Sus scrofa: one gene and its partners. The protein of the gene in region 5 purifies or fractionates together with the protein of the main gene of each other region. This does not show direct contact. Links are inferred from orthologs where the notes say so. Each region holds a gene or a part of one and is shown on either strand. Other genes may lie near its edges.

Region 1 (4,086 bases), on a different chromosome or scaffold from region 5:
TTGAGGAACAATGTTTGATGTCTATTAATACATTTTTTTTTTCAAAGGCAGGGTGGGTCACCTGCATGCTCCCACGCCAGGAACTTCCTACCAGAGGGATCAACGCTGCTGAGCAGCTCTGCAGAGGCTGAGGGACCCCCAGCTCACTCACTCAGAGCTGGGATTCAAACGCTTGGGCGTAAAAGGAGCTCTGTCCAGCACCCACTAGGGGCTCAAGTACTTCCCATTATTTGGAAAATTCTAGAGAAGGCAGGTGACACTGGAAACCAACACCCCCATTCTATAGATGGGAGAACCATGGCACAGAGAAGTTCTGACTTGCTTGGTGACCTGAAACCCCAAGAGGCCTGGTGACGATGTCGCTGGGGACTGGCTGGGGGTCTCACTCCCTTCTAGGGGCCCCACAGAGCACACACACAAATGCAGGGAATCTGATTCTGTGCTCACCCAGAGAGCTGCCTTTCCAGAAGGCCTGATGGGGGGTGCACGTGCTAGGCCAGGCCTCTATTCTAGCTCTTTGTCCTCTACCTCCCCGCAGGCCCTCCCGCACCCAGCAGCGAAACCAAAAGGGCACTGGGAGGAGCCGAACATGACCGCAACCTGGGGGGGGCGGGTTGCTTGTGAAAGTGCCAAAGTCCAAAAAAAAAAAAAAAAGAAAACAAAAAAACGGAATGGCAAATTGATGCACTCAGCACAAAGTTCAAACTGGATTTCTGCCTGGGACCAGAGGTCGTGAGTTCCAGTTCCCTGGTGTCAAACCCCACCAGGGGTGCTCTGACCCTGCCCCAACCCTTGCCGATGCCAGCTGGGCAGTGGCAGGAAGTAGGAGCCTGGCGGCCCTGGCACCCAGTGTTGTCCGGACAGGGCTCCAGGTGACCTCACTTCCACCAAACCAGTTGGTTTTCTCAGGCTCCACCTTCTACCTTAAAGGCTGAACTGTGCCCTTTCTCTGTCAAGGGAGGCTTGTACTGGCACCAGGGACACCCCCGCCAGCAGGTGGAGAGCTGGTACAAGCCAAATGGGCCCTGGGGAGGTCCAGGCCCTGCTCCCCAGTTTTGCCGCGAGGCCTTCCCCGTCACTCTCAGGGGACAGGAGGATCAGGGCAAGTCCTGTTTTCCCTCTGCCCCCAACCCCTGCAACTAATCCAAACTGGACTCATTAAACACCAAACATGGGCAAAAAAACAACCAGCTTGCTTGCTGTCTGGGGACTGGAGTAACACAGCTGATGCCAGGGCAAGGGCACCTGCCTGTGGTGACATGCTGGCTGCTATTACGGTCCAATGACCCTGGACCACTCCCCCCCCTTCCCCCAGCCATTTCTCCTCCTCCAAGGTCTTCCCTCCTGCTCCCAGATACAAGCCAGCGCTTACTCCTCACATTCCTGAGAATCATAAATCCTCCTGGGTGACAGAGCCGCCACCCACTCCCACCAGACGCCTCTGCACCTCCTCCCCGCACGCACCCCACCCCCACACATCATCTGCGGTGGTGGAGCGTCTCCTTTTTAGAAGTCACACCAGACTCTAGGAGGAGGATGAAGTCCAGCCAGGCTGCAGTTAATGATCCACGCGCCAGCGGGCTATGGGGAATGGGGGAAGTGACAGGAGAACGCAGTCGGTAACCCCTCTCCTCCCATCGGGGCGCCACACGGAGAGGGGGTAGTTATTCCTTTAGTTCTTGGAAGTCAGGGCTGCTCTCACTTCAGCCCAGCTTCATTCACCACCCTCAGGGGCGGCGAAGGCAGCTGGTCAGTCCGGCGGGCCTGAGGTGGGACTGGGGGTCCCAAGGGACGGGAGCAGACGCCACCAACAGAGTGCGGAAAAGGGGACTGGGCTCCCTTGCGCCGCCCTCTCTGACTCCTACTCCCACAGGCCAAGGGACAAGAGGTGCAAGTGGCCAAGACGCTCGGGGTCCCAGCCCAGTCTGGGGAGAGGAGTAGGGGTCGTGAGTCGCAGCCTCAAGCCTGCAACTGCCAATTCGCCCGATCCGCGGGCGGAAGCAGTCTCCCCCTTGAGGATCGAGTTTCAGAAAGACAAGGCGGGAGCAGGGCCGGGCGTCCGGGGCGCCTGGGTCTCCCCACTCTTCCCCCTCCCATTCGGTTCCAGCCTCGCCTCCCGGCCCGGGCCCACGCTTACTGGCTCCTGACGGCTCTTCTCCGCCTCGTGCGGCTCCGGAGTGGCGGCCGGCGGCTCATTTTCGCTGTCAGCCCCCTGCGCCTCGGTGGCGGCCGGCGGCTCGGCCTGCCCGGGCCCTTCTTGGGCGCGTAGCATCTCCTCCCGGACCTGGACGCCCAACTTCTGCAGCCGCTCGTCGGTCTCGGGGTCGACCACCAGCAGTCGCACGGCGTTAAGTGCGGCCCGGATGCGGCTCACCACCTGCTGGTGGGTCTCCTTCTCCACGTTCTCGCCGTTCACCTCCACTAGCCGGTCCCCGGCCAGCAGTCCCGACTTTTCGGCCGGCGAGCCGGGCTCCACCAGCCGGATGAACTGGCCTACCTTGCCCTTTTCCCCGTGCAAGTGGAAGCCGTAGCCGTTCGGACCCTTCTCCAGGCAGCAGAGCCGGGGCAAGGGTGCCCCGGCCGCCGAGTCCGCGCTCATCTCGCCTTCAGCGGCGCGAAGCAGAGTTCGGAGACGGGATGGTCCAACCCTTTTCCCTACCCTGCGGGCGGGGGTGGCGAGAACGACAGCGGAGGGGAAACCTGGCGCCGCGGGACCTGAGAGAGAGCAGGTGTCCCGGGAGCCGGGGCGGCGAAATGCTGGGAGCAGAGTTCGCAACGTTCAGACCAATCCCCGCCCCGCGCGGCGTCTGAGAGTTCCAGAACCCGACCCGGCCCCTTATTTCGGGGGCGGGGCCGCGCAGAGGGTGTGGACCACCGAGGGCCAATCAGAGGCCACGAACTGGGGCCGCTCTGGCCGGGTGAACAACACCGGCCAATGGGAGTGCGCAGGGGCGGGACTCTGCGCTCTGTGAGACGCCCCGCGGCGGGAGAAGAAAGAGAGCTCAGGAAGTGGAAGTGTTTGTTACCAAGTGGCTGGAGTTGAGGCGCGAGCGGGGAGGCGGGGGCACAAGGAGGCGGGAGCGAGTTCCTGTACTGGGCAGAGCGGCCTGCAGGATCTGCTCTGATTTCCTCCCACCTGTGTCGGGGGTTGAGCAGAGCCACCCCGTGGGTAAAGGAGACTAACGTTTGGACAGACTTTAGCTAAAATGTGCAGCTGCCGTTGGAGGTGGGAGTAGGGGCAACTGTTGCCAGGAACACCCGCTCCCGTCCGGAGACCCCACGAATAAGACCTAGGTCCACCTCGGACCCGACAGAGTGGTTTGAATAATGGTATTTTCCCGTTTGCAGGGTCACTGTGCGCTGTCCCAGGACCTGCTGGATCCTCGCGGGGACAATGTGAGGGCTCAGCAGAGAGGAGAGAGCTGCCTGTCGAAAACAGGACACCTAGGGCAATGGTGTGGCATTGGCGTCAGCCTTTGCCTAGGGAGGTGGGGGCGGGGAGAGGCAGAACACAGGTAACCAATTTCGGGGTGCAGTCCACAGGAAAAGGAGTCTTGGCTTTTTTCATCCGAGAAAGAAAAATGATGAGGACTGAAAGGGAGACCTTTCAATTCTTTCTTTCAGATGAGAGGCTGGGTCTGTTAAGGGTGAGGTGACCAGCTGGGGACATTGAAGGATGAGGATCAAATGATTTTGGCAGTCAGTGATAAGCAACAACAATGCTTTCAGCATGATCTCCGCGCCCCCTCCCCCACACACACATTATGTGCACCGCAGAAAGCAGCGGACAGGGTGTACTTTCCAAAATACTGTAGTTTAATTCTGGAATACACAAATGCTAAAGGCCCGGAGCAGCCTAGGTGATTGGATTGTCTGCGACCTGCCTTGTGCCCCAGAAGATCCCCTGCAAGGTCAGGCTCCTCCCTGCTCTGCCTGGGAGAGGCCTCGGAGAGCTTCCTTATCGGCCTGTCAGGCCCATCAGAGCTGCTGACTCTGCTCAGAGAGCAAGATTTCTGCCTTGAAAGCAAACGCAGTAGCCTGAGAAATGTGCAGCGCATACCTTTCTCACCCCGCTCCCCTGCCCCT
Region 2 (3,992 bases), on a different chromosome or scaffold from region 5:
TCACTTCCCCCAGACATCGGGGAGCAGAAACCAAGGACCCAGGAACGCTGTCCTGCACACAGGAGTTAGTGCTCCACCAAACCGCAGAAATAAACGAGAGACCTTCCACTTAGGGCCTCCGCAACCTAATAAGGAGATAAGAGAAAAATGTACAACACAGCAAGTGTGGTAAGCGCTGCTGAGATTACAGAAAGGCTGTGAAATTAGACGGGGAGGGGGGGGGACGGACGGACAGGCCTCTGATGCTTCAAGGCTACCCGCTCGAGAGACAGCCATGAACTTGCCAGACATCTGTACAAGCGCAGAGGTAAGTATCTCTGCTTTTCTTGATTATCAATCTTGTCATTCTCAGACGACAGACGGCGGTTCTCTTGAAGAATAAACTGCAGGTTACTTTGAGATGTTCAACACTATCTTGGGAGCGCATCAGAATTTCTTCTAGTGAGAACACAGACACACCCAATCTGAACACTACTTCTGGAGCAATCTCATTTGGCTGGGCACCGATGTTTCTGTATCTGCCAACAATACCCACACACCACATGCAACTAACGCACCCCGAGCGAAAGCCCTAGAAAGAGTTTTGGAGTCTACAATTCTTGAGATCATAATCCCACTTACTCCGTATTTGACGTGGCAAATCCCTCTGCGCCTCATTTTCTGAATCTGATTAGAGTATATATTAATATGGTTATGTGAATACAGTTTGTCTTCCTTAACTAGGATGTCAACACCAGGAAAGCAGAGACTGGCTGGACCACTGCTGTCTCCCCAGCGCTCTGCATACCCTCTAGCACTTGGCAGGTGCTAAACGGGGATGAACAGGCAGCAAAGGGTAACACATCACTCCAGAAACTAGACTTTGACAGTGAACCATGACCTGACAATCTGTGCAGCTCAGCAATCCGGCAACATTATCGCTTTCCAAGATGTAATTATCACATTCTTTTTGAAGCAGAATAAGATAATAATTGGCCTACCTAAAAATAATTAATGTACATGACCCCCCGAAATCCCTCTAACATCGTCCCTTTAATATCAAGGCTTTCCTAAAATGTGACTTGTGAGAGAAAAACAAACATCCGTTTGAGGAAACGGGTTCTTCAATGATTCATCCTTCAGTGTGATTTAATACTGTAGACTTTAATCCCACCTGATTTCAGCCATTTTTTATACGGTTCCTCGGCGTGCTGTATAGAATCTGCTTCTAAAGCCTCTCTCCTATCTGATTCACCATTCAGCACTTCTTAAAGGTATGTGCAAGGTCCCACCCCTAATTTTAAACGGAAGATTGTTTGGGGAACCTGCTATAAGCGTTGAAAAGGGTTGGTAAGACGTAAAAAAGAAGGAAAGATATCAGAAGTCTTTGATAACATAATCACTGGGCCCGCGTTGCAAAGGATAACTTTTCTGTGATGACTCATAATTAAGAGCGCTAGATCTAAGTCCTAAGGAGCTAATGAAACCAATCTGCCCCACCGTGTGGAAAGCTGGTCCTTCTGCTCGAGCACCGAGCACCGGATTGAAACGCACCCAGGTTTTGCTTAACTCGGGACTTTTCAACAGGCATTAGCACTTTCCCCTTAAAGTGGATTTCAGAGCTCCGGTGAAACACACACAGCAACCCTCGCCGTCAGCTCCTGCAAAGAAATACTTCCAGCCACACACGGATGCGTCTGGGGCATTAAAGTAAACAAATGACAGGAATGCTGAAGCCGTTTCCAAGGTTTACGTGGATTCCCCACGACAAGACCGCCACCTGGGCTCAGGGTTGCAAATGGGAGCTCGTTCCTCTCAGGAAGGGTAGAAAAGGGGGGGGAATTTCACCAGCACTTATTTAAAGTTTCCACCTTCACACACACCCCTTCCCTCGGCACCGGCGGGGGGCTCGGCCTCGCCCGCGGCGCGGAGAGGAAACCTGCGCCCGACTTCCGTCCCCTCCGGGCCGGGGAGGAGACCCTGCCTTCCTGCCGCAGCCCCCACGCCCGCCGGGGACCCTCCCCGCCCGGCCCGGCCCGGCCCGGCCCGGCCCGGCCCCGCCGGACGGAAAGGCGGGCGCTCCTCGCGTCCTTCCCCTCCGACCCCGGCCGGGCCCGCGGCCCCGCTCGCGCGCCCACAGCCCGGGTGCCTCGCCGCTCCGCCCCGGCGCCGCGGGGACCGGGGGCCGAGCCCCAGGCGCCGACGACCGGCGCCCACCCCGCCGGCCACCCGCGCGCCGCCGTCCCCCGGGGCCGCTCCGCTCGCGTCCGGCCGTCCAACCGCCCCCGCCCGGCCCGCGCCGCCCCCGCCCGGCTGCGGCTCCGCGCTAGGCCCCGCGGGCGGCGAGGGGCGGGGACCAGGGCCGCCGGCGGGGTCCCGGGCCGCCCGCCGCCCCCCCGCCGCACCTACCATGGTACAGATGGAGGCGAATTTGGAGACTGTCATTAGGATTTCCATCCGCCCAGCGCCATCTTCCACCCAATCACAGCGGCGGCGGGCGGGGGAGGAGGAGAGCCTGGCCGCCCGCTCGCACCGCAGCCCGCGGGCGGACCCCGAGCCGCCGCCGACGCACGCACCGAGCCTGCTCAGCCGCCGCTGCCGTCGCCGCCGCCGCCGCCGCCGCCGGCACTCCCCGCCGCGGGCCCTAGCCCCCGCCTGCCGCCCGCCCGCCCCCGGCTCCTCCCCGGCGCAGGGCGCAGCCGCTGCCTCGGGGCCCGCGCCTGCCCGCGAAGCCGCCCGCCGCACACCCCGCCCAGCGCGCTGGGGAGCGGGCTCCGCTGAGGCCCTAATGCCCGGCCTGCCCGGCAGCTGCGCGGCCCCGCGGCGCGCCCCGCCCACCGCCGCGCGCCCCGCCCACTCCCCCTCCGGCCCCGCCCACTCCCCGAGGAAGCCTCTCCAGCCGCCGAGCGCGCGCGAGTCGGGGAGCTCCGGCGTCGGCTCCACCCCGCGCGCGGCCGGGGAGGGGCTCGCGCGGGCCCTGCCTCCCGCCCGCGTCCTCCGGGTCCTAGAGCGGGTGCGCGGGGAGAGGGGCGCCGGGGGCGATGAGGGCCCTCGGCGGCCGTCGTGCAAGGGGCTGCCCCGCAGCCTCTACCGAGGGCCCTGTCCAGACAGAAAACTGAAGGGGCGGTCTCAAAATTCTGGGTGCGGCGGGAGGAAACGTGCTCGTAAACGGTCAAAATAGCGAAGGTCATAGAGAGTCCCAAACAGCTAGAATGTAAGGTGGTTTGTTTCTTTTTACGCACATTGGGTGGATCACCTAGGTCAAAATACCGAAATGTAGCAGAAGACAAGTTCATTACATAAAAATGAAAGCGGCAAAGAAGAAACTATATACGCTTAGTTCTTTGAATTAAGAAAGGTCAATTATGGGGAAGGGGGCAAAGCTGCTTTTCCTGTCTGCTTGTCGGCCATAAATTTAGAATATGGTTATAAATATAGTATCTAAATATACTGGTTCCAAAAGTTGAGTCGCAAAATAGGGAGGATGTCAACCCCGCGCTGATGATGTTCCCAGAGACGAGAAGTCCCGCAAGTTGAGAACAATGTCCTGTGAGAAAGAGAGATGGTGTTAGTCAGGGGGATAGTTCCTATGTGCCGTTTTTATAAAATGCATCATTGCACCCTGTTCTTTGTGCCAGACAGCTAGGCTTTATTTATTCCTATTTGCGAAAGAAGTTCAAGTTAGTAGCATAGCTTTACCAATTATTATATTAGAAAGCTTGTGATTTTTCACTGTTGGAGAACTCGTGGCGAGGGGCTTTTTGGGGTTCCTCGGTTTCACTGGGGCAGAAATTCAGACAGATCTCTAAAATCAGATATGCCTTAACTTGCAGGTTTAAGACATTCAAAAAACAAAACATTCAAACAAAATTTAGATGAAGAATAGATTTCTGGCACATGAATGCTGTTTCCACAGTGATTTCCACTATAAGCTTGCTTGGGGAGGGGGCGATTGCAAATAGAATATACCCAAGTCCCAGCGTAGCTGGCCCACTTCTCTAGGCACCTGCCTC
Region 3 (4,269 bases), on a different chromosome or scaffold from region 5:
TTTGTAAGGGGCGGGGCTAAGGATTCCCACTGGGCCATCTACACCACAGTCAGGCTGGTTTGCATCCATGAACAAGTGGGTTGTTTCGATGAGTGGCTGCTTCCAGCAGGTCCACAAACACATCATCTCCATTGTCCTTTGGACAACTGACGGTGACATAATAATGAGAAAGGTGATGTAGATATCAGCTGACACTCAATGGGCACTGGCTCATTACTAGGCTCAGTAACTCATTTAGTACAACAGTCCCATGAGCCAGGAACCCTTAGCCTCCCCCTTTTATAGGTAAGGAGAGTAAAGAGACAGAGCAACTGGTTCAAGGACAAAAAGCTAGTGTCAGAACCAGGACACTGAACCCAGGAAGTCTGATTTAGAGACCAAACTCTTCATCGCTTACTCCAGACGGTGTCTATATAGGAACGTAAAACTTTCTAGTTCTGAGTTATGGGTTCCTCACCTCGCCTGGGTGATGATCCTAAATTGGGGGCCTTTTTAGGGACTCCGCGTGAGGTGTCAACTCTCCAGACCCAGTGCTGGCCCTTTCCTCTCACCTTCTCCCTGCAGCTTGCCTCCCCGGCCAAGTTCTACTGGAAATGGGTTGTAACATTCGGCTCAGGTGTGCCAAGAAGCCCCAGCTGCACTGAGGGCACAAAAAAATAAAATAAAATAAAAAAGCTTGGAGGCTGGCTTTGTCTTGGGACACTCCAGTTCCCAGCTGGCTTCAATCCAGAGAGGTGTCACCACACACAAAGCAGGATAGGAACAACACCAATGGCTTCACTGCCCTGTAAGCCCAAGGCCACCCCAGCAGGCACCAAGCAGAGGATTAGAGCTGCTCTGGTTTCACGGTTCCCCTCAGGAGCAGGTCTTAGCAGACAGAGAAACCGAGAAGAAAGGCATCACCTTTTCACTGCACCAAGCAACATCCATGCCACTCGACAGGGAGGAGCGGGAGACCTGTCTATGAGTGGAGAAGGAGGGGAGAGAGGAAATGCAAGGGGTCCTGCACCAATACCTTTGCAGCTGTCCCCCTGGGAAGGCCCCACATGTGCTCTGCCAACGAGGGCGGCAGCCACCATCAACACTGCTGAAAACTGAAGCCAGCACCAGTGGGTCTGGATGCCACCCCTGTGCTAACACATGGCTCCTTAATGCTCCTTTCCCATGTGTTAATCTTGCAATAGAATGTGGGACAGAAGATTTAAAAAGCTGGGTGATGGGGGGAAGGGCAGCCAGATCACCTTACTCCCAGGCTTCTCAATCAAGCCTCCTCAGATTCCCTTTAGTGGCGTGTTTCAAGGGAGGTTTCCCCCCGAACCCTGCACTAAAAGAACATGTGTTCCATCCAGCTGGGGGGAGGGGAGTGGTACCCCTAGAGGGTGGAGGCAAAGTACACCCTCTCTAAACCCCGCACAGGAGGGCAATGCCTGACGCCAGGGTGCAGGTTGTGCTCTCTGAGGCTCTGACAAGTGGAGGTACCAGCAGGATGCACCCTGGTGACCCAAGGGCTCTGGCTGTTCCTGCAGAAACTGCAAAGGAAGGGAAAGCAATGGGAGAAACCCAAGTTAAAGTGATCTCCACATCATGACGGTGGACTCAATCCTCAGATGGAGCCCAGCGAAGTCCCCTTGCTGTGTCCAGGCCCATCAGCCTGCGCTGGGTCTGCAGAGCATCTGGCAGGATAACCCTGGAGACCTCCACGCCCCCAGTCAGCCCCATCCTTAGGGCCTCTAAGGGTTACTGCCATATAACCTTGTGCCCCTTTCACAGGTGGGGAAACTGAGGCCTCCAAAACAAATAGCCATGCTTTCCCAAGCCAGGTAGAAGTTCACTTCCCTAACCACATTTTGCACTTTTTACAGCTTTATCGCATTTCAGATGTCTCCAGATACAGCGATGGCCTCTGCCAAGTGAATTTTTAAATACAGTTTAAGGAGTGAACTCAAAAAAAAAAACGAGATGAGGGCGGTCACGGAGTCGGGCTGGGCTTTATCTACCGCAAGGGCAGGATGGGTGCCCCCCACCCCCACCCCCGCTCGCCCCAGCTTTTCTTCCAACCCGGTCCCCCGGGACGTCCGGGTTCGGCCTGCCCCCTCCCCCAAGACACTTCCACCGCAACCCGAGGACCGAGGTGCAGCGGCGCGGTCCGAGGACCGGCGGGCAAGCTCCCGGGTCCCGGGTCCGAGAGGGGGGCGGGTGGCCCGACGGCCCCTCCCCCGCCCGCTCCCGGGGCCGCCACCGGCCCGCCCCGCCCGGGGGCCCGGAACTTCGGGGGCAGCGCCGCGAGGCCCCCGCCTCCCCCACGCCCCCACCCCCGCGGGCCGCCCGGCAGGCGTGCGGCTCGGGTTTCCCTTTCTTCGCTTTGCGGCGCCTAGGGCGCGACCCCCGAGGCGGCGGCGGCCACTCACCATATTACAGATGGAGGCGATGTTTCGGACAGTCATTAGTCTAAAGGTTGCAGCGATCCCGCACCGCCATCTTTATAAGGTGAAAGCAGGGCCGGCCATGGTGGAGCGCTCGCGGGGAGGCCGGGCGCGGCGGCGGCGGCGGCGGCGGCGGCGGCGGCGGCGGCGGCGGGGAGGCGGCCCGGGCTCCGGCTTTCAGTTTGGCTGGGAGAGGGAGGCCGGGAGGGAGGAGAGGAGGCGGGGAGGGCGGGGAAGGCGGGAGGCGGGAGGGAGAGCGGAGGGGCGGGGAGTGGCGGAGCGAAGCAGCCTGGGCCGCGGCCGGCGGCGCCGGGAGGAGGGGCGGCCCGAGCGCCGCGTGCAGCCCGCGCCCCGAGCGCTCCCGCCGCGCGCCCGTCCCCGGCTCCGGTCCCCGCGGCTCCTCCTCCCTCTTCCGCCCCCCCCAACCCCGGCCACCCCCGGCTTGGCCTTTTTCTTCTTTTTTTAAAAGGTCCTGCTTCGCTCTGTATGGGCTGGAATACGCAGCCAGGCCCTTGATCGCGCTGCTGCGGGTACCCCGGGCGGACCCCGAAACGCCGGCGGCCTCCTCCCTCTCCTCTGGGCCGCGGCGTGGCCGGGGAGGCAGGGACCGCGCCCGCGTCGGGCGTCGGCCGGCGGAAGGGGCCGCCCGCGGGCTGGGGAAGCCGGGCACGTCGCCGCAGAGAGGCCGCCGGGGACGCGGGGCCGCTTTCTTGCCTTCACTTGTCGCCTGCGGCGCGGCCCTCCGCAGCCCAGGGGATTTTAAGGTTTGGGAGATTGGAAGGGGCAAGGTGCTGGGGTGACCACGTCCAACTTTTCGTTTCTCCCCGGGACTCCGGCCAGATGGCACCGGCGGGGACCCAAGAAGTAAACGGGGTCAGGACACGGTGGGGTCGAGAGCCCTGGCCAGCCGCGGGCTAGCTGCCTGGTCGAGGGCGCCGGGAGGGGACAGGAATCTGGGTCTGGGCGGAGGCCAGACAAGGCTCGCTGGGCAATTTGTGACATTAGCAGGTACAAAGGAGAGGTCTCCGCAAGGACTGGGAAAGGGCCGAGGAGAGATCTGAATCTGGAAAGCATGAAAACCAAACTTTTCCGCACCTTTGAGGAAAGCATACCTCTCTCAGGGGCAGCCAACCCCTGAGAGAAGGGTCATCGTATGGGCGTGTACGCATTTCCTGCAGAAAAGGTCATGGTTTCTGACTCAAAGCAGCGAATCTACACCACTTAGCAGATAGGTTCCTGTGAAGTGGAGGAGCCAATTTCCGAAGGTGTGAAACAGTTCTCATACAAGGTTACAATTTACTGCTTTCATCGGAGAAGTTGTACAAGTGAAACCGGTGATAATTCTTAAACCAATATACTTTGTGACAAATCGAATTAGAGGAAAATTAATATAATTGAAAATAGCTTTTATCCAACCAAGAGTCCCATACTGGGAAAAGAGCACGCTGTCTTCCATTATCTATTTAGTGTTCTACACGTAAGATTTCAGAACCGTTGGTTGCTAATATGCTTAGGACCTGGGATGGGACTAAAAAGACAACAGCCGACTAAAGCTTTCTTGGGGTCTTCTTGGCTCTGTATATTTCCATGGATTTAAAGAATCAGTCCCTGGAGTTCCTGTCATGGCTCAGTGATTAACGAATCCAACTGGAAACCATGAGGTTGCCAGTTCGATCCCTGGCCTCGCTCAGTAGGTTAAGGATTCGGCGTTGCTGTGAGCTGTGGTGTAGATTGCAGACGTGGTTTGGATCCCAAGTTGCAGTGGCTCTGGCAAAGGCCGGCAGCTGCGGCTCCGATTCCACCTGTGGCCTGGGGACCTCCATATGCCAAGGGAGCGGCCCTAGAA
Region 4 (3,980 bases), on a different chromosome or scaffold from region 5:
CCAGGGGAGAGAGGGCCTGGAAGGTCTGACATACCTCCGCTCTCTCTGGGCCAGGGCCAGCGGCCAGACCTCTGATCTCCTGCCACCTGACCGCCTTCCTGGCTGCTGCCGGCCTCACCACTCACCTCCCCTCGCTCATTCCCAGCCACCCAAAAGCTTCCAGCCCTGACACCTTGCATGCGTGCTCCCGGCTTTGCCACCTTGCCTTCTCCTCCCACACCCCTGCCCGTGGAGCTGAGGGAGGAGGCCTGGGAGGCTTTGCCCCGAGAGCTGCTGGGCCACCTTTCTTCAGCTCTGTTACTCAGGCCCTCTGTTTTCCGTCCCCCTCACTCCTTCTCTTCCCACTCTGGAACTGCCACCCGCAGGTCTCAGCTGGCCCCTGCTGTTACCCACTTCCTTGCTCCCCGCCCCCCTCGTTCCTTGGATGTTCTGTTACTCTAGACGGAGAGCCTCTCTCGGTACTCCTTCGGCTCCTTTGGTGCTTTCGGGCCTCCTTTGTTATTCTGGGGTGTGGTGTTCCTGGCCCCTGGCTGTGACCATGTCACTTAGTTACCCGCCTTACAGCGGTGTTCTGTTCCTGGCCACCGGCACTCACGGGCTGAGTGCTGGGCTGCAGGAGGCAGGTCTACAGAAGGGGACGAGGTCACTAAGCTTCCTGAGCCAAGCGGCCAGGGGTACCTGCCTTCCCTACCCCTTGGTCTGGGGGTCTCCGGACCACCTCCGGCCACCACCCTCTCAACTCTGGTGTGGCCTCAAAGCTGTAGCCTGGCAGGTCCTGGGTGGTTCTGGCTGCTATGGGGTGATCCCTGAGCCCCATCTGGGGTGGTATGTGGCGGCTTCCACTCCACACCCACCCCCACAACCTGCAGGGGTGGCAGTACTAGGTGGGGTGCAGGGGGGCCAGTCACAGGCCACGAAGGCAGCCTCTGGACAGACAGAGGGAGGCGGCTGGCCCCAAGGAGGCTGACCGAAGGGGGGCGAGACAGAGAAGGACTGGGGGGGGTCCCTGGCCCTGCGGCCCCTCCTGGGGCCTCGCGGCGCGGGCGGAGCGCCGAGGCAGGGGGATGGCCGGGGTGGCTTGGACCCGGGGCGGGGGCGGCAGGGCAGAGGGGGCGGGGAAAGGGCGGGCGCGGGGGCGGCGCCGCAGCCAGATCCGGAGCCGGAGCCGGAGCCGACGGGAACCGAGCGGGAGCCGCCGAGGCCGCCGCAGGGTCTCCCGCGCCGCTCCCGCGCCCGCCCCAGCGCCCCCGCCTGCCCGCGGCGGGCGTGAGCGCCGTGGCCAGCCCGCGGCCGGCCGGTGGGCAGCAGGCGCCATGGCTGCCCCGGAGCCGCTGCGGCCGCGCCTGTGCCTCCTGGTGCGCGGCGAGCACGGCTACGGCTTCCACCTGCACGGCGAGAAGGGCCGCCGCGGGCAGTTCATTCGGCGCGTGGAGCCGGGTTCCCCGGCCGAGGCGGCCGCGCTGCGCGCCGGGGACCGCCTGGTCGAGGTCAACGGCGTCAACGTGGAGGGCGAGACGCACCACCAGGTGGGTGCCTGCGCCCCGCCGCCCCCCATCCCCGGAGCGCGTCCCTGCCCCGCGCGCGCGCGGACGGCGCCAGGGACCACCGGGCCGCCTGCGCCCGCGCCTCGGCTCCCCCGCCGGGGCCAGGAGGGGTCGCACAAGGGCCTACGTGGGCTCCCGGGGACAGGCGGGGGACGTGGCCACCGAGGCAGCGCCTCCTTCCTGGCCTCCCCCCGCCCCCGTCGGTTCCGCACCGCGGAGGTGGGGGGGATCCTGGCAGGGAGGGGCCCGCAATGCGGCGGCTCCTCCGGTTCTGGCCCTGGCTCTTGAGTCTTGTCCGGCCTCCGTACAGTCTGTGCAGGAGTTGGTGCCTCGGGGGTCTCCGTGTGCCTGGGGTCCCCGGCGCTTCTCTGTCAGTGGGGACACACGCGCGCGTGCACTATGGGTATGCGTGTGAATGTGCAGGTCCCTCTGGGGATCACCCTTGTGTGTACCGTGCGGGGTGTCGCGGTGAGGGCACACTTGTGTGTGTCTGCATCAGTTAAGTGTGTGTGTGTGTGTGTGCTGGACTGTGTGCACGTGAGTATACAGGTCTGCACTGCTTAGATGTGTGTGTGTGTGGTGGGGTGCCTGACCTGGGTTGTGTGTATCTGTCTTGGCCCGGGTGTCTGCCTGCTGGTGTACTAGTGTGTGTCCTGACGGTTGGTGTCTGGGTCCTGGTGGGCGTCGCTGCTGGTGGCAGCACATTCCTGTCCTAAGAAGCTGCTGGGCAGCCTGGTGGGGGGTGGGGGTGTGTGTGGGGGGCGTCACTGGCTGTACCCCCCGGCCTCCTGCAGCTGAGGGGAAAGGCCAGAGGGGGAGGTTCTCCTCAGGTTCTGATCCCTGGGGGGTGTCTGCCGCCCACTGACCTGGGATCACCTGGCTTGGGTCCTGTCCTCCTCCACCCCTTCTGCTCAGGATCCCCGCGTCCCCCAGCACCTGTCTATGTGGCCGGCCCTGGGGCCTGGAGATGTGTAAATTGGCTCTTGGCTGGGCTGGGAGCCGAACCGCTTCTCTTCTGGAGCTTTTGTCTGCCCATCTGTCTGCCGGCCTGTTCTTTACCCCGAGTGTTGGCAGGATGAGGCTCTTTGCTGCCGGGGGTGTGGGGGTCGGGGCCGAGGTCTGGGATTGACAGGCCAGGGGGCGGGCCCCGCGCAGCTGGCGCCTGGCCTCTGTTTGACATCAGCTGCCGTCTTCTCCAAGAGCGAGGCTCACCCCAGGCCTCCCTGGGTGTGGTCTCCAAGGACTTCACACGCGGGACCACGGGGAGACCTTCCCACTGCCCTGGGGGAGAGGAGGTACCATCATGGCTCCCGTTCTGCAGGCGAGCAAACCGACAGTTGCAGATACTGGGTGACTCACCTGGGTCCCACTGTCAGGCAGCATCGGGCTGCTGGGGTCCTGTGACGCTGAGGGTCACAGGGGGAGAGAGATACAGAGGGGGCCGGGGCAAAGGTGGGCCTGGCTCGGACCCTTTGCTCTGTTGCCATCTACTGAGAGGCTGGTGCGGGCCCTGTCTGTCGTCCGGGCCTTGGGGTGGGCGTGGGGGTGTTGCTCTTCCTACCCAGTGCCCAGTGGGCACTGCTTCTCCTGCGGGCACACACAGGCATGAAGGCTCCATGGCCGTGCACATGTTCTAGATGCTTCCCAGACACCTGCGTGAGCACGCCTGGCCCACAGGTGGACCTGCTCCTCCCTAGCTCTGCCTGCCGCGTCTGAGTCCCGCTTCCTGGGTTGCGTGCGGGCGCCTGAGGAGGTGTTTTGCCACAAGCACCTAGGTGTTCCCTCTGCAGGTCCAGCAGGAAGAGGCCCATGATCACGGTCTGAAAGAGAATGGAAGGCTTAGACGCAGGTTCTTCCACCGGGGGAGGCAGCCAGGCACAGACACACCGAGCCTGGGACCCAGGGAGACCCTTCCCCCCGCCCCCCCCCCGCAAACCCAGACGTGCAGACGGGGAAGCCGAGGCTTAGCCGAGCCCCGCGATTGTCCCTTCCCGGCCCCTCCCCAGAGAAGAGCCTGCGCCCAGGCGAGGCCCCCGCAGCCCCTGCAGCCCTTGGAGCCCGGCCCGCTTCGGCAGCCCCGGGAGAGGAGGGCGGGAGCCGCCGGAGCTGGGGGTGGGGGGAGGAGCTGCGGGCCTTGCGGTCCAGCCGCCCACCTGGCCCGGGAGGCTCAAGGCCTGCCCCCGGGGTGCTGCTATCCATGTGCTGCCTGGGGTGCTGGCCGTGACCGGCTCCCGCCTCCTGCCCGTCGCAGGTGGTGCAGCGGATCAAGGCTGTGGAGGGCCAGACGCGGCTGCTCGTTGTGGACAAGGAGACGGACGAGGAGCTCCGCAGGCGCCAGCTGACTTGCACCGAGGAGATGGCCCAGCGAGGGCTGCCGCCTGCCCTTGACCCCTGGGAGCCGAAGGCGGACTGGGCGCCCGCAGGCAGCCTCAGCGG
Region 5 (4,297 bases):
ATTTTGGGAGGGGTGGATGAGATGAGGAAGAATACTTCAGTTCCCTAAGATCGTTTTGGATTGACTGTAAAAACTATATACACACATTATTTTGATAAAAACCTGAAACTATTATTGAAAAAACAGATCTCTTGGCATTCACTGACTAGACTAGTTATAACTTTGTTTCTTCTACAGACTGAATTAAAAAAAAAAAAAAATCCCCAAATTGTAGCAAACATCTGGAAATTTCTGCTTCAAAGACACTCCCAATAAGAGAGTACTAAAAATATCATACTCACATTCTAACTACAATTATAAAGGAGTATAGTGCTAAATAAATCTAGAGGTAAATGCTGAATCAAATTTTCCAATACTCCTTAGAGTGAATGTAGACCTAACCTAGCTAAGTTGCACTGGCTTAGTCATTTTAGCCTTTTCATGAAGGCCTACACTCTTGACAATATGATGTCCGTAATTTGGTATTAAGTGTAAAAGAGTTACGAAAAACAATGATAAGTCTTTTTTCAAAGTGTTTTCACAGAAGAATATGTAGGCGACACTATGACTTTCTTCCCAATTCAGAAATACTTCTACTTATACATTCCTTTCCAGTTTCACCTGGCACAAAATTCAACCGCTCTGCTATTGAAGAGAATTTGTAATTGTAGAACACCTGTTCTTCACAGCTGATCTTATTTATTTGTAAAGGACACAAGGGTCTTAGACACTGTCTGTTTCCCATACCACCAGCTCAGCACCATGATCAAGATTAACTTCTGGAATCTTTCTTTCTTTTTTTGGCCACACCCATGGCATGCATAAGTTCCCAGGTTAGGAATCCAACCCGATCCACAGCAGTGACCAACTAGATCTTTGACCTGGGGCAGCCCCCAGGGAACCCCTGCAATCTTTCTAATGTTGCCCAGACTGGAACCCCACTAAACGAGGGGTAGGACCACTTCTTGGAAGTGGTTGGAAAGTCGGACCCTTCAGGAAAGATCCTTATTTCTCAATTCCTTCCCTCCCACAACTCACTCCCTCTCCATCAAAAAAAAAAAGTTGTAAAAATAGCCAAGGTTGTTTACCTTCTAGGCCAGAGGGCATTACCTATCTCTCAGACCTGCCCTTTCCTGATAAGCAGGCCAGAAGATCATTTTTTGAAGTTCATTCACAATATACATTTTTGTGACTTTATAGTTTTAAGTAAATATCCAAGTCTTTGAGTAATTACATTTAAAACATGATTAAGTATTTTATAATAAGTATATACAAGGCCTATGCAGAAGTGAAGATAAACTATGAAGTTATTTCTCTAAGTCACTGCATTAAGAGTGGGAGGTAGTAGCAGCAAAAAAAAAAAAAAAAAAATGTTTTACATTTTACAGAGTTCTATTTCATGTAGTTTCATGTTTTTATCAGATGCTCCAAATCTTTTTTTTCCCCAGTGTTGCCATCTTTGTGATGTCCTAGGAATAATCTAATAACAAGTATACAGCACTCACCCTCAAGACTGAAGAGCAACTACTGTAACTAAGTATTTTCGTTGTTCCGCAAAGTATTTCTGAAACACGTCCAATCTAAATTTTATTTGCTCTCTTCCTTTTTCTCTGGCAACTTTTAAATCCTCTGATTCCTTTTCTAGAACTCGAGAAGGAATTCCATTCCATCTCCAGAAGGACACCTAGTTTACATATTTGACCTACAGAAAAATTCCTCTCCAACTCTTTCAAAGGCTAGTAGAACTCTATCCAGGGAGTGTCCCACAACCCCTGCTTTTAACCACCTTCACGGTACCGTCCCCGCCCTACATTCCGTGTGCATTTTAACTTCTTGTCATCATCTTCGAGACTCCACTCCCCACCTCCCGCATCTGCCTTCAATTCCTCCTACTCCCCCCAATTCCTGCCAAAAAGCCCCGTTAGTTGCCTGTTGCATAACTGCTCCCCATTACCGTCTCCCTGGCTTGTCAGCCCCGCTCCCGCCAGCAGGAATGCCCCTTTTTGTCCAACCCCTCCTCCCTCTGCAACACGCCCAGCGATTCCCCGAGATGAAGCTCCTCCGGGGATTCTCTCTCCAGGCCGGGCAGGTCGTGCTTCCAGGCCGGCGCTTCGGAGCGGGGAGCGGGTCTTAACTTTGGTGGTGAAGCTCCGAGGGCAGAGTCGGCCCGCTCCAGCAGGCGCAGCTCCGAGCACACCGCAGCGCCCGGCCAATCACCGCCGCCATCCTCCCGCTGGGGTGATGTCTTCAGGTGTCCGGGGAGAAAGCCCTGCGTACTTCCAGCTCCGCTCTCCGGCCAGGAGCCGCCGGCCCCGGGGCTGCCGGCGCGGCCGAGAGAGGCAGAAGCGGGCCCCCGGGTCTCGAAGGAGCCGGGTGGGCGGCGGCGACCGGGTGGACGCCGGCCCCAAGGCATGGGCCTGCGAGGCGGGTGGCGCGCGGCCAGGGATGGGCAGCGGCGGGGACGGAGGCGGCCGCGGCCTCGGCGGGGACCAGGCGCAGAGGCCTCCGCCGGTGCCGCGGCCCCTCCAGCTGGGTCTCGGGGCAACCAAAGAGCAAAGCGGACGGACCAACGCGAGGCGGGGGTCGCCGGCAGCTTCGGCCACTGCGCGGGGCAGGGGCGGCCTCTCCCTGTTCTTGCTCCCTCCCCAGCCCGTCTGCCCGCCTGTCTCACCTTCAGGACCCGGATCCCGCCCAGCCGGCGGCTCGCGGGCGCTTCGGGCGGCTCCGGGGGCTCGAGCGGGCCCGCGGGCCCCGGCTCCACCTCCCCCATCGGCGGCTGGCTGAGGCTGCACAGGGACGCCCGGCCGGCGCGACGCCGCGCGGAGCCTCGGCGGCGCGCGCGAGCAGCCAGCGGCCCCACCCCCGCGGCCCGCCAGCCCCGCCCCGGGCCCCGCCCTCCCGCAGCCCGGCCGGCCCTGCGTAGCTGCGGGCGCGGTGCGTCCCCCGGACGCTGCGGGCCGCCTGCCCGCGGACCCCGCCGGCGAAGCCAGGCAACACCGCAGGGCTGGGCTTCTGCCGTCTGCCGCCCTAGGTTTGGCGGCCTGAGGCACAGGCGTGTTATTTCTTGCTGTCCCCGCCTCCGAAGCACCCGCAGGGCTAGGGGCAGGGGAAGCTCTGCACCTGTCAATAGTGACTGGAGGACGCTGCTCTCCGCAGAGGGTGGTTCTTGTAACTTAGCTCTTCCAGACGTTTCCTCTGTGCTCCAAAACTGGCCTGTCGCCCTCACTTGCAAAGCCATTGAACGGATTGTTGAGAACACTCACCTGAGCAAGGTGCTTTCTCTTATCAGAGATGCTCATGACATTCTCAGTGTACAAAATGTCAACTCACCTCCCTTTCTCCTCACGTAGTAAAATTATTAGAATTCTGTTCTCTGTTTGAAGGAGCGATGTGGTCTATGAGCCATTTTATTATTTGCAAGGCTAATTTAGAAATTTTTAATTTATTTTTTCTTTCAGTTCCTTCCGTGATAGTTTTGTGACCAGGCCAATGGGCCAAATTTGGAGTCAGCCAGCCTCATTCCAAATATCAGTGCTACCTCTTATTTGATCTAAGCCTTTGGTTCTTAGCTGTGAAATAGAAATTGGTATCTGTCTAGTAGTTATTCTGCAGACTTTGCAAATGCATCAATGTGCTTACTTAACACATAGTAGTGATTCGTAGTAACCATTACAATTATGAATTTCCAAATTTAAGATATACTCAGTTCCTCAGAGTCCTCTCCTTGTTAATCCAACTCTAAATTTTCCTAGGAAATCTTCTAGACCTCTGGATTTTTAGGTCTTCCCCTCTTACAGACGTGTTGAATCTTCAAGCAACTTGTAAGGAATTCAGCAGAAAAAAATTTTCTTACGCTTTGGATAACTGGTATAAACGGTATCGCCTATTATCCATTGCTTCAGCTTGCCTAGTCTAACCCAAATGTATGTTTAGTACAAGAGAGTTTGAGACCTAACAGTGCAGTCTGTGCCCCTCTGTCTACATATATGAGATATCTATTTGTAAATTTTTTTTCTTTTTTTTTTTTTTTTTTTTTTGCATTTTTAGGGACACACCCATGGCATATGGAAGTTCTCAGGCTAGGGGTCCAATCCAAGCTGTAGCCACTGGTCTACGCCACAGCCACAGCCATGTCAGATCTGAGCCGCACCTGGGACCTACATCACAGCTCATGGCAACACCAGATCCTTAACCCACTGAGCAAGGTCAGGGATTGAACCTGCATCCTCATGGATGCTAGTCAGATTAATTTCCGCTGAGCCACGACAGGAACTCCGTGTGAATATTTTAAACTCTAAGGCAAAATTTGAATAAGACA
Region 6 (3,500 bases), on a different chromosome or scaffold from region 5:
CTGTTATACATACTACTACTGCTCTAAACAGAGGGTTTTCCTGCTCTAAAATCATCTAAGATAAAGAATCTTTGGGGAGTACTAAAGAAAGGCCAAGTCTGGGGCTGAAACTCATGATTTTTTGGGAAATGACTTGAATCTCATCTTTCATCCTTATATCCTGCTACTCCCTTATACTCACTCTGGTCTCTAATTACACAAACCTACTCACCTGGCCCTGAGTAAGCATGTACATTCCTCTTCGGTGCCTCTGTCATTCATTCCCTCTTCCTAAAATGCCCTCCCATAATCAATTTGCTAGAATACGTTAAGGCCCTGTTCAAATGATTTTCCTCCACCAAGAAGTTCTTCCAATTTCTCCAGTTCTAAGTAATCACCCTTGCCCACAAGCTATCCTGCACTCGGTTTATTCTTTCTCTATAAGACTTTCACCTTCCCCTACTCTTGTCCCCCCTACCAGAAGGGATCATGAGATAGAATATTCTGACTTTTCTGTCATCTATGACCCTCAACACAGTTCTCTGCACAATATTCATTCAACACAGGAAATATTTATTGAACAAATATACCAATAACACTAAAGAGGGACATTTGTCAGGATTCTAAAATCAAACTCTTCAGTCTGCCTAAAACGTCTTCAGTGCTATTTAGAATGTGGTTGAACAGCTTAATACATTTCAATTGTCTAAGGAGTAACTGTAAGATGACCCAAAGTAGGAGCTGTGCTCACAGTGATGACTATAAATCCTGAGAAATGGCCAAACGTATTTGGTGCACTCTGGCAGTTCTAAACCTGGCGTGATTTTGCATCCCTCTTCTTCCTTTCTCCCCTAAATACTGGCAATATCTAGAGACATTTCTGTTTGTCACAGCTGAAGTAGGGGATGAGGATGAAGGTGGTCACTGGCATCTACTGGGTAGAAACAAAGGGATGTTCCTAAACATCCTAATATGCACAGGACAGATCCTACTCCTCCCTCCCACCTGCAACAAGGAGCTGTTGGGCCCAAAATGTTAACAGTATAAAGGACTCAGAATCCCGATGTACTCATTCTAGGGGAAGGCAGCATAACACAGTTTGTAATACACTAAACAGAAAATGGTTCCATTCAAATTCTGGGTACTTAAAAAGATAAAAAATAGCCTTATCTAATTTCACGTAAGAAAGTATCCACTCCAAATTAAGGCTGCAATTAAATCCTTATTATGTATTGTCTGTTATTTTACAAACACACATGAACATACACACAAATACACAGACTATAATAAAAAAGTAAAGAGCTACATAATCCAACAAGCTATATTTAATTACAAGAAGATACTTACCTTCAATACATCCCAATACGCCACATTATTATTGGTATCTTTGGTTAATATATGCCTCTTATCATTAAGAATGTGACACTGAATAATGCTAGCACCCCCTAAAGGAAAAAAATCCACATAATTAGCAAAACAATCCTACATTTAAATTCATAGTATGCCAAAAATGTTAACTGGCACGTAACAGAATGTAAATCATACTCGTCCCTAGAAAGGAGAAGGGAAATCAGAAGACCATGTAATTATATCTAAGGCAATTTAGGGCCAATCAAAGAAAGACTGATTTTAATATCACATTAGAGAAGACTCTTCATTCACTTCAAAGGGCTACTACTGGAAAAGGCAAAGCCCTTAATAATATTTTACCCACTGGGAAAAGTCCAAATGATGGAAATCTCCGAATTAGTTTCATCTCTCATTAACTTTTGCTTCCCATCTTCCTTCGCTTTATGCCTCTCGAATAAAGGTAACAGCACAGACTAACTACAGATAAACGCACCATTCAATACTCTAACCCCAAACTCTGACCTTGAAGAGAGAGCTGCGACTCCCAGTTGGAGTGTGTACCCTTTCTGGCTTGTGCCAAAAGACATTAAACCTTATACCTTGTACAAAGTGGCTGCTGGCTTTACCAAGACCATGATTCTTTTAACACTGGGCAAAAAGATTAACTCAAGAAAGCTCTCTCTTTTTTTTGCTTTTTATGGCTGCACCCATGGCATATGGAGGTTCCCAGGCTAGTGGTCAAATCAGAGCTGCAGCTGCCGGCCTACACCACAGCCACAGCAATGTCTCCCAGCTGCATCTGCAACCTACACCACAGCTCATGGCAATGCTGGATCCTTAACCCACTGAGCAAGGCCAGGGATGGAACCTACATCCTCATGGATACTAGTCAGATTGAAGAAAGCTCAATTTTTAAAGTCACTAAAAAGCATTTTAAAAATATCTTTTTTAGGAGTTCCTGTCATGGCTTAGTGGAAACGAATCCGACTAGGAACCATAAGGTTGTGGGTTTGATTCCTGGTCTTGCTCAGTGGATTAAGGATCCATGAACTGTGGTGTAGGTCACAGACTCGGCTTGGATTTGGCGTGGCTGTGGTGTAGGCCGGCAGCTGTAGCTCCAATTAGACCCCTAGCCTGGGAATTCCATATGCCACAAGGGCGGCTCTAAAAAGACAGAAGATAAATAAATAAATAAATAAAATCTTTTTCTTCTATTAAACCAATTAGGAGTTCCCATCATGACGCAGGGGATGAATCCACTAGGAACCGTGAGGTTTTGGGTTCGATCCATGGCCTCACTCAGTGGGTTAGGGGTCTGGCATTGCCATGAGCCGTGGTGTAGGTCACAGAAGTGGTTCCGATCTGGCATTGCTGTGGGTGTGGCTGTGGCTGGCAGCTGTAGCTCTGATTAGACCCCTGGCCTGGGAACCTCTATATGTCACCGGTGCAGCCCTAAAAAGACAAAAAAAAAAAAAAAAAAATTACTATTAACTTCGGTTGACATCAAAATTACATTTAAAGGAAGGTCATCTCCCTTATTTTGTCAATCTCTTAGTAACTATAATCAACCTCAGTAAAAGGTACAATACCTTCCAATATCCTTACTTACCTTTAATAACCTGGTCAGGCTGTGTACACAGGGGTGTTATAGGATTTGTACAGTCATTGTCATAATCTCCAGAGGCTCTAAAATTATGAATTCCCTTCAATGTCTAAAGGAACAAAATTTATGATTTAATTATCTTATGCTTTATAAGCATTGCCAATCCATTTAAAGCGGCAAGAAAGATAATAAATGGATGAAAAAAACTCAACAATAACAACATCAACCAAAAATACTTAGTCACAAAGTACAATTAGATACTACCATGATTAAAAAAATACGACAAATATTAAGAAGAGAATGTTGTCTTTTTGGAGAGAACAGGGGGCACTCTTTTAGGTAAAGCTATGTTGATCTCAAATTGGCAAAATAAAATTTAGACAAAAAAATATAACTTTTTTTTTACAAGTACAGAGAAAGACCACTTGACCTGCATATAAACAGGAATAAACACAGTTTCTCTGTTATTATCACCAATAAAGTCTGGTAAGCAAGAAAACTTAAATCTTCTTCCATTAAGATTTATGAATTAATAGTACTTCTGTGACTTCTCTCTACGTATCCCCTA
Region 7 (4,217 bases), on a different chromosome or scaffold from region 5:
AATACATTCCGGCATTTTATAAGACTGCTGATACCTGTTTGACTTTTAGCAGAAGCCAGACAACATGAAAACAACTGTAACAAAACATCTGAGGCATTTTAGGTCTCATTAAGGGGAGGTGACTCTAGTGTTCTGACAACATGGACAGAGGACACAGGGCGTTGGTGTCAAATGCATTATTACATCACTGGTACAGTTGCCACTGGCACCTGCTTGCTTTGCAAGACAGGATGTTTATGATTTAGACGCCTCTTACCTGCGAACTTACCCCCCTCCACTTCTTCTGTGATCCTCCAGGTGTGATGTGAACACAAAGGGATGGATCACTCTTCGTGTAACAAATGCTGGCTCCCCCACCCACACCCCCACATTCTATCATTAATGTTTCTGTCACTTTAGGAACTTTCTCATTCCAGGGCAACATGCCAAGAAGCCTGGGCACAAAAGGGTGATTGTTTAATCTGCAACACGTGTGCCTGTCCTTACATGTCTAGACCGAGTACAGAACAGCCACACAACTACGCCTGGCAAACAATTTCGCAGATTCCGCTTAAGCCTTAAAAAAAAAATCAACAGCCTCCAATTTTTCTAAGAGCTCCTGATAAACTATTGAGTAAGAGAAGTTGAATTCTGCTTAATTTAGATCCTAGTTCCCAAAGCCATTTCCCTCCTCCTTTCTCTAAACACCTGGTGGAGACAAACTTAAAACAGACGTGCCATCACTACCTGCTTTCCTTAAATTAGCCAAGGCTCACCCCAGAGAGGTATTCAGATATTTGACTTGCTAACAACACAGGTGCTGGGCAGGTACACTCCCTTCCCCGCCGCCTCGCCTGAAAAAACGAATGATGAAGCGGAAAACAGGGTCTTCGGTACCTTCTCGGAAACGAACTCAGGATGCACAGGTGCAGAGGGGCTTCCTGACCCAGGCGTCCGGACGGTCCAGCCGGGGGGCCGAGGGGAGGCCCCAGAAGAAGGGGGCTCTCCCGCACCCTCGCGTGGGTAGAACACGGGGGCTTCCGAGCTCTGTTCACGGTACCCCATGTGCCGACCCCGACTTGGGCGGCGGCCGAGGCGGCGCTCTCCTCCGCCCCTGGGGGTCCCAGGACTGCAAGTCAGGACCGGGGCAGCTGAGCAGCCCACGCGAGCTCACGTCAGCGCCTCCCGCAGGCCAGCTCGGGGGCGGCGGGGGCGGTGGAACGGCCGGCCCGCCCCCAGACCCCCAACCGCAGCCCCGCCCCGAGGCCGCGCCCGGGGGCGGAGCCTGCGCACGCCCAGCCGCGTGGAGCGCGCCAGGTGAGCACGCCTGCGCAGTCGGGCCGTAAACAAGCCCGTCCCCTTCTCCTCGCCGGCCTCCGCGGGGCCGGCTCGCAGGTGGGAGGGGCCAGGAGAAAGGGGCGGGGGGAGCGCGGGAGCCCGAGACGGCGCCTGCGCGGTGGGCGTGATCCGGGCACTTAGGGCAGGATGAACGCTGCTTTCCAAGATGGCGACGGAGGGAGGAGGGAAGGAGATGAACGAGATTAAGACCCAATTCACCACCCGGGAAGGTCTGTACAAGCTGCTGCCGCACTCGGAGTACAGCCGGCCCAACCGGGTGCCCTTCAGCTCGCAGGGATCCAACCCTGTCCGCGTCTCCTTCGTAAACCTCAACGACCAGTCTGGCAACGGCGACCGCCTCTGCTTCAATGTGGGCCGGGAGCTCTACTTCTATATCTACAAGGGGGTCCGCAAGGTACCGACCCGGGCGTCACCGGGGCTCGCCAGCGGCGTGGGCCGAGGCCGGGAGCAGGGCGGTGACAGCGGGGCCAGGGTGACCGGGGGGGTGGCCGTCGCTCTTACTTTTGAGTGGGCCGGTAACTCCACTGGAGTGCGCCTGAGGAAGGGGCTTCGGGAGTGAGGAGGGCGGCGGCGGGGTGTCGGACGGGTGGGGGCGGTGGAAAGGGACCGCGGGGCGCGGGGTTCCGGCCGGGAGGCCTCAGAAGGCGCCGGCTGCCTCCCCTCCGGCAGGGTCTGTCCGTCTCTGACACGGCCAGGGAGCGGGCCTGCGGGTCCCCGGAAGAGGTGGGGTGGCCGTCTAGTCTGTTGAGACCGCCTCGCCTCCTGGGAGGGCTGAGAGTCTCGCTCCGGGTTAGGGAACCGGGGCGCGGGGCGGCCTGGGAAGACCTGTAAGGCGGAACCGGGGCTGGGAAGCGGAGCACTTGAGATAGGTCAGAAAGGACCTGCTCGGCACGAAGGGCTACTCCACCTGCTGCCGCACTGACACTTCCTGGGAGCCCCTCCTTCTGATGGTAACACTGTGTCCAGAAACATCCGTGGGAAGACAGCTGTCACTGCTTCCGCGGAGGGAACCTTCTCCTGAGAGGGTGTCACAGGGTCGTGTCCCTTAGAGCATGGGACAGGCTGAGTGCTAGAGTTAGGTGGCAACGACGTTTGCGGTGAACTACGCTGGTTCGCAGGGGTTCTGTGCGAGCGTGCCCAGATCAGTCTTGTCCAACAAGTCAGGCTGTGTCCCAAACAGGGAGGGCTCTGCCTTAAAAGCTGCTTTACTAGAACCATTCTTCTTGGCGGGCGTTTTAACAGTAATTCTGTCAAGCATGTAATCATCCTTTAAACATGTCTCTTCAAAAGGGGCAACTTATTAGAGCTTTTCTTTCCCTGGCTACATAACTTCGTTCTCATTGACAGCTGCTTCCTTTTGAGATGTGCGGTCTTTGAGTTGACTCTTAGAAGAGTGAGGAAATTAGTGTACCTCCCAGCACCTGGGCGTGGGAAACAGTGATAATCGATTGACTGATACATGTTCGATTAGTGTGAGAGTAAATTGTGTATATTGAAGGGTGAACTTGTTGGGGATTTAGTTTTTGCTGGATTCCAAGAGCTAGGGCTGTGACCGTGGTATCTAGATGTATGTAACACGTTGTCTCATTTGTTCTGGGTGAATCTTTTTGGTAGTGTTTATGGTAAGTGTACGGCTGCGTTTGAGGTATCTTGTTGTTGCAGATTACTGAAAGTAAATTGCGGCTTTATTTTTTCTCCTTCGGAATTGGAGAAGTGAAGTAGTTAGTAGTCAAGGAGCTGAAGTTTTAGTCCTACTCTCAACTCTGTCACTGACTTGTTGGGTGACCTTGGACGAGTTATTTAACCTCTATCTGCAGCTCTTTCAAAAGTGAATATTGCAGTACACACCTTGTGATTTATGGTGTAATGATTGTGATGAACTTTAAAGCCCCGCAACACTCAGTGGTTGTAAAGTATGGTTAAAATAAGCATGAAAAGCAACTGTCAAACAGGAGCTCCTGTCTTGACATTGCTACGAGAACTGAAAAGATCAGCTTTTTCTCTGGAAATAAGTTTAAAATTTTAAGTTACTAAAATTGAATTACATAAAATTTAAAAGTACATAAAACCTAAATATGTGAACAATTAATTAGTGGTAGCAGTTACCTTTTTAAATAAAAGTTTTCTTGGAGTTCCTGTCGTGGCACAGTGGTAAACGAATCTGACTAGGAACCATGAGGTGGCGGGTTCGATCCCTGGCCTCGCTCAGTGGGTTAAGGATCCGGCGTTGCTATGAGCTGTGGTGTGGGTCGCAGACACGGCTCGGATCCCGAGTTGCTGTGGCTGTGGCTACAGCTCTGATTCAGCCACTAGCGTGGGAACCTCCCTATGCCGAGGGTGCGGCCCTATAAAGAGAAAAACTGTTTTTTCATTTTCCATGAATGCGTTTGCGTTTATTTTTTGTTATTTCTGACTGTATGTGATTGTTTTTGTGATTCTATTTTCTGATTTTTTTTTTTTTTTTTGGGTCTTTTTGCCTTTTCTAGGGCTGCTCCCGCCGCATATGGAGGTTCCCAGGCGAGGGGTCGAATCAGAGCTATAGCTGCCGGCCTACACCACAGCCACAGCAATGTGGGATCCGAGCCACATCTGCAACCTACACCACAGCTCACGGCAACACCAGATCCTTAACCCACTGAGCAAGGCCAGGGATCGAACCCACAACCTTGTGGTTCCTAGTTGGATTCGTTAACCACTGTGCCACGATGGGAACAACTATTTTCTGATTTTAAAATAGAGCAGATAATTTTCATTAGTCAAAACCCCAAATTTGGGAATCCTGCTGTGCAGCAGAAACAAATCCGACCGGTATCCATGAGGTTGTGAGTTCGATCCCTGGCCTTGCTGTCAGCTGTGGTGTAGGTTGCAGATGCAGCTGA

What was found.
Region 1: the proteins of PHLPP2 (region 5) and SLC9A3R1 purify together in Homo sapiens (co-immunoprecipitation; 3 studies listed by BioGRID and IntAct, with this or other methods). This does not show direct contact. The link is inferred for Sus scrofa from reciprocal best matches to the Homo sapiens genes PHLPP2 and NHERF1.
Region 2: the proteins of PHLPP2 (region 5) and USP12 purify together in Homo sapiens (affinity purification with mass spectrometry; 3 studies listed by BioGRID and IntAct, with this or other methods). This does not show direct contact. The link is inferred for Sus scrofa from reciprocal best matches to the Homo sapiens genes PHLPP2 and USP12.
Region 3: the proteins of PHLPP2 (region 5) and USP46 purify together in Homo sapiens (affinity purification with mass spectrometry; 4 studies listed by BioGRID and IntAct, counting the BioPlex papers as one, with this or other methods). This does not show direct contact. The link is inferred for Sus scrofa from reciprocal best matches to the Homo sapiens genes PHLPP2 and USP46.
Region 4: the proteins of PHLPP2 (region 5) and SLC9A3R2 purify together in Homo sapiens (affinity purification with mass spectrometry; 3 studies listed by BioGRID and IntAct, with this or other methods). This does not show direct contact. The link is inferred for Sus scrofa from reciprocal best matches to the Homo sapiens genes PHLPP2 and NHERF2.
Region 6: the proteins of PHLPP2 (region 5) and WDR48 purify together in Homo sapiens (affinity purification with mass spectrometry; 5 studies listed by BioGRID and IntAct, with this or other methods). This does not show direct contact. The link is inferred for Sus scrofa from reciprocal best matches to the Homo sapiens genes PHLPP2 and WDR48.
Region 7: the proteins of PHLPP2 (region 5) and WDR20 purify together in Homo sapiens (affinity purification with mass spectrometry; 4 studies listed by BioGRID and IntAct, with this or other methods). This does not show direct contact. The link is inferred for Sus scrofa from reciprocal best matches to the Homo sapiens genes PHLPP2 and WDR20.

Annotation. Positions count from the first base shown.
Region 1 is NC_010454.4:6,480,740-6,484,825, forward strand, and holds the start of SLC9A3R1 (Na(+)/H(+) exchange regulatory cofactor NHE-RF1), read right to left. Parts: upstream 2,801-4,086; 5' UTR 2,600-2,800; coding exon 2,138-2,599; intron 1-2,137. UniProt on the Homo sapiens protein: Scaffold protein that connects plasma membrane proteins with members of the ezrin/moesin/radixin family and thereby helps to link them to the actin cytoskeleton and to regulate their surface expression. Necessary for recycling of internalized ADRB2.
Region 2 is NC_010453.5:4,686,992-4,690,983, forward strand, and holds the start of USP12 (ubiquitin carboxyl-terminal hydrolase 12), read right to left. Parts: upstream 2,801-3,992; 5' UTR 2,437-2,800; coding exon 2,389-2,436; intron 1-2,388. UniProt on the Homo sapiens protein: Deubiquitinating enzyme that plays various roles in the regulation of the immune response and inflammation.
Region 3 is NC_010450.4:39,579,191-39,583,459, forward strand, and holds the start of USP46 (ubiquitin carboxyl-terminal hydrolase 46), read right to left. Parts: upstream 2,801-4,269; 5' UTR 2,445-2,800; coding exon 2,409-2,444; intron 2,010-2,408; exon of another isoform or gene 1-2,009. UniProt on the Homo sapiens protein: Deubiquitinating enzyme that plays a role in behavior, possibly by regulating GABA action. May act by mediating the deubiquitination of GAD1/GAD67.
Region 4 is NC_010445.4:39,950,025-39,954,004, reverse strand, and holds the start of SLC9A3R2 (Na(+)/H(+) exchange regulatory cofactor NHE-RF2), read left to right. Parts: upstream 1-1,180; 5' UTR 1,181-1,313; coding exon 1,314-1,526; intron 1,527-2,663; exon of another isoform or gene 2,664-2,847; coding exon of another isoform or gene 2,848-2,865; intron 2,866-3,795; coding exon 3,796-3,980.
Region 5 is NC_010448.4:14,713,122-14,717,418, forward strand, and holds the start of PHLPP2 (PH domain leucine-rich repeat-containing protein phosphatase 2), read right to left. Parts: upstream 2,801-4,297; 5' UTR 2,750-2,800; coding exon 2,651-2,749; intron 1-2,650. UniProt on the Homo sapiens protein: Protein phosphatase involved in regulation of Akt and PKC signaling.
Region 6 is NC_010455.5:23,763,066-23,766,565, reverse strand, and holds part of WDR48 (WD repeat-containing protein 48), read right to left. Parts: intron 3,042-3,500; coding exon 2,939-3,041; intron 1,425-2,938; coding exon 1,327-1,424; intron 1-1,326. UniProt on the Homo sapiens protein: Regulator of deubiquitinating complexes, which acts as a strong activator of USP1, USP12 and USP46. Enhances the USP1-mediated deubiquitination of FANCD2; USP1 being almost inactive by itself.
Region 7 is NW_018084979.1:976,986-981,202, forward strand, and holds the start of WDR20 (WD repeat-containing protein 20), read left to right. Parts: upstream 1-1,417; 5' UTR 1,418-1,483; coding exon 1,484-1,732; intron 1,733-4,217. UniProt on the Homo sapiens protein: Regulator of deubiquitinating complexes. Activates deubiquitinating activity of complexes containing USP12. Anchors at the base of the ubiquitin-contacting loop of USP12 and remotely modulates the catalytic center of the enzyme.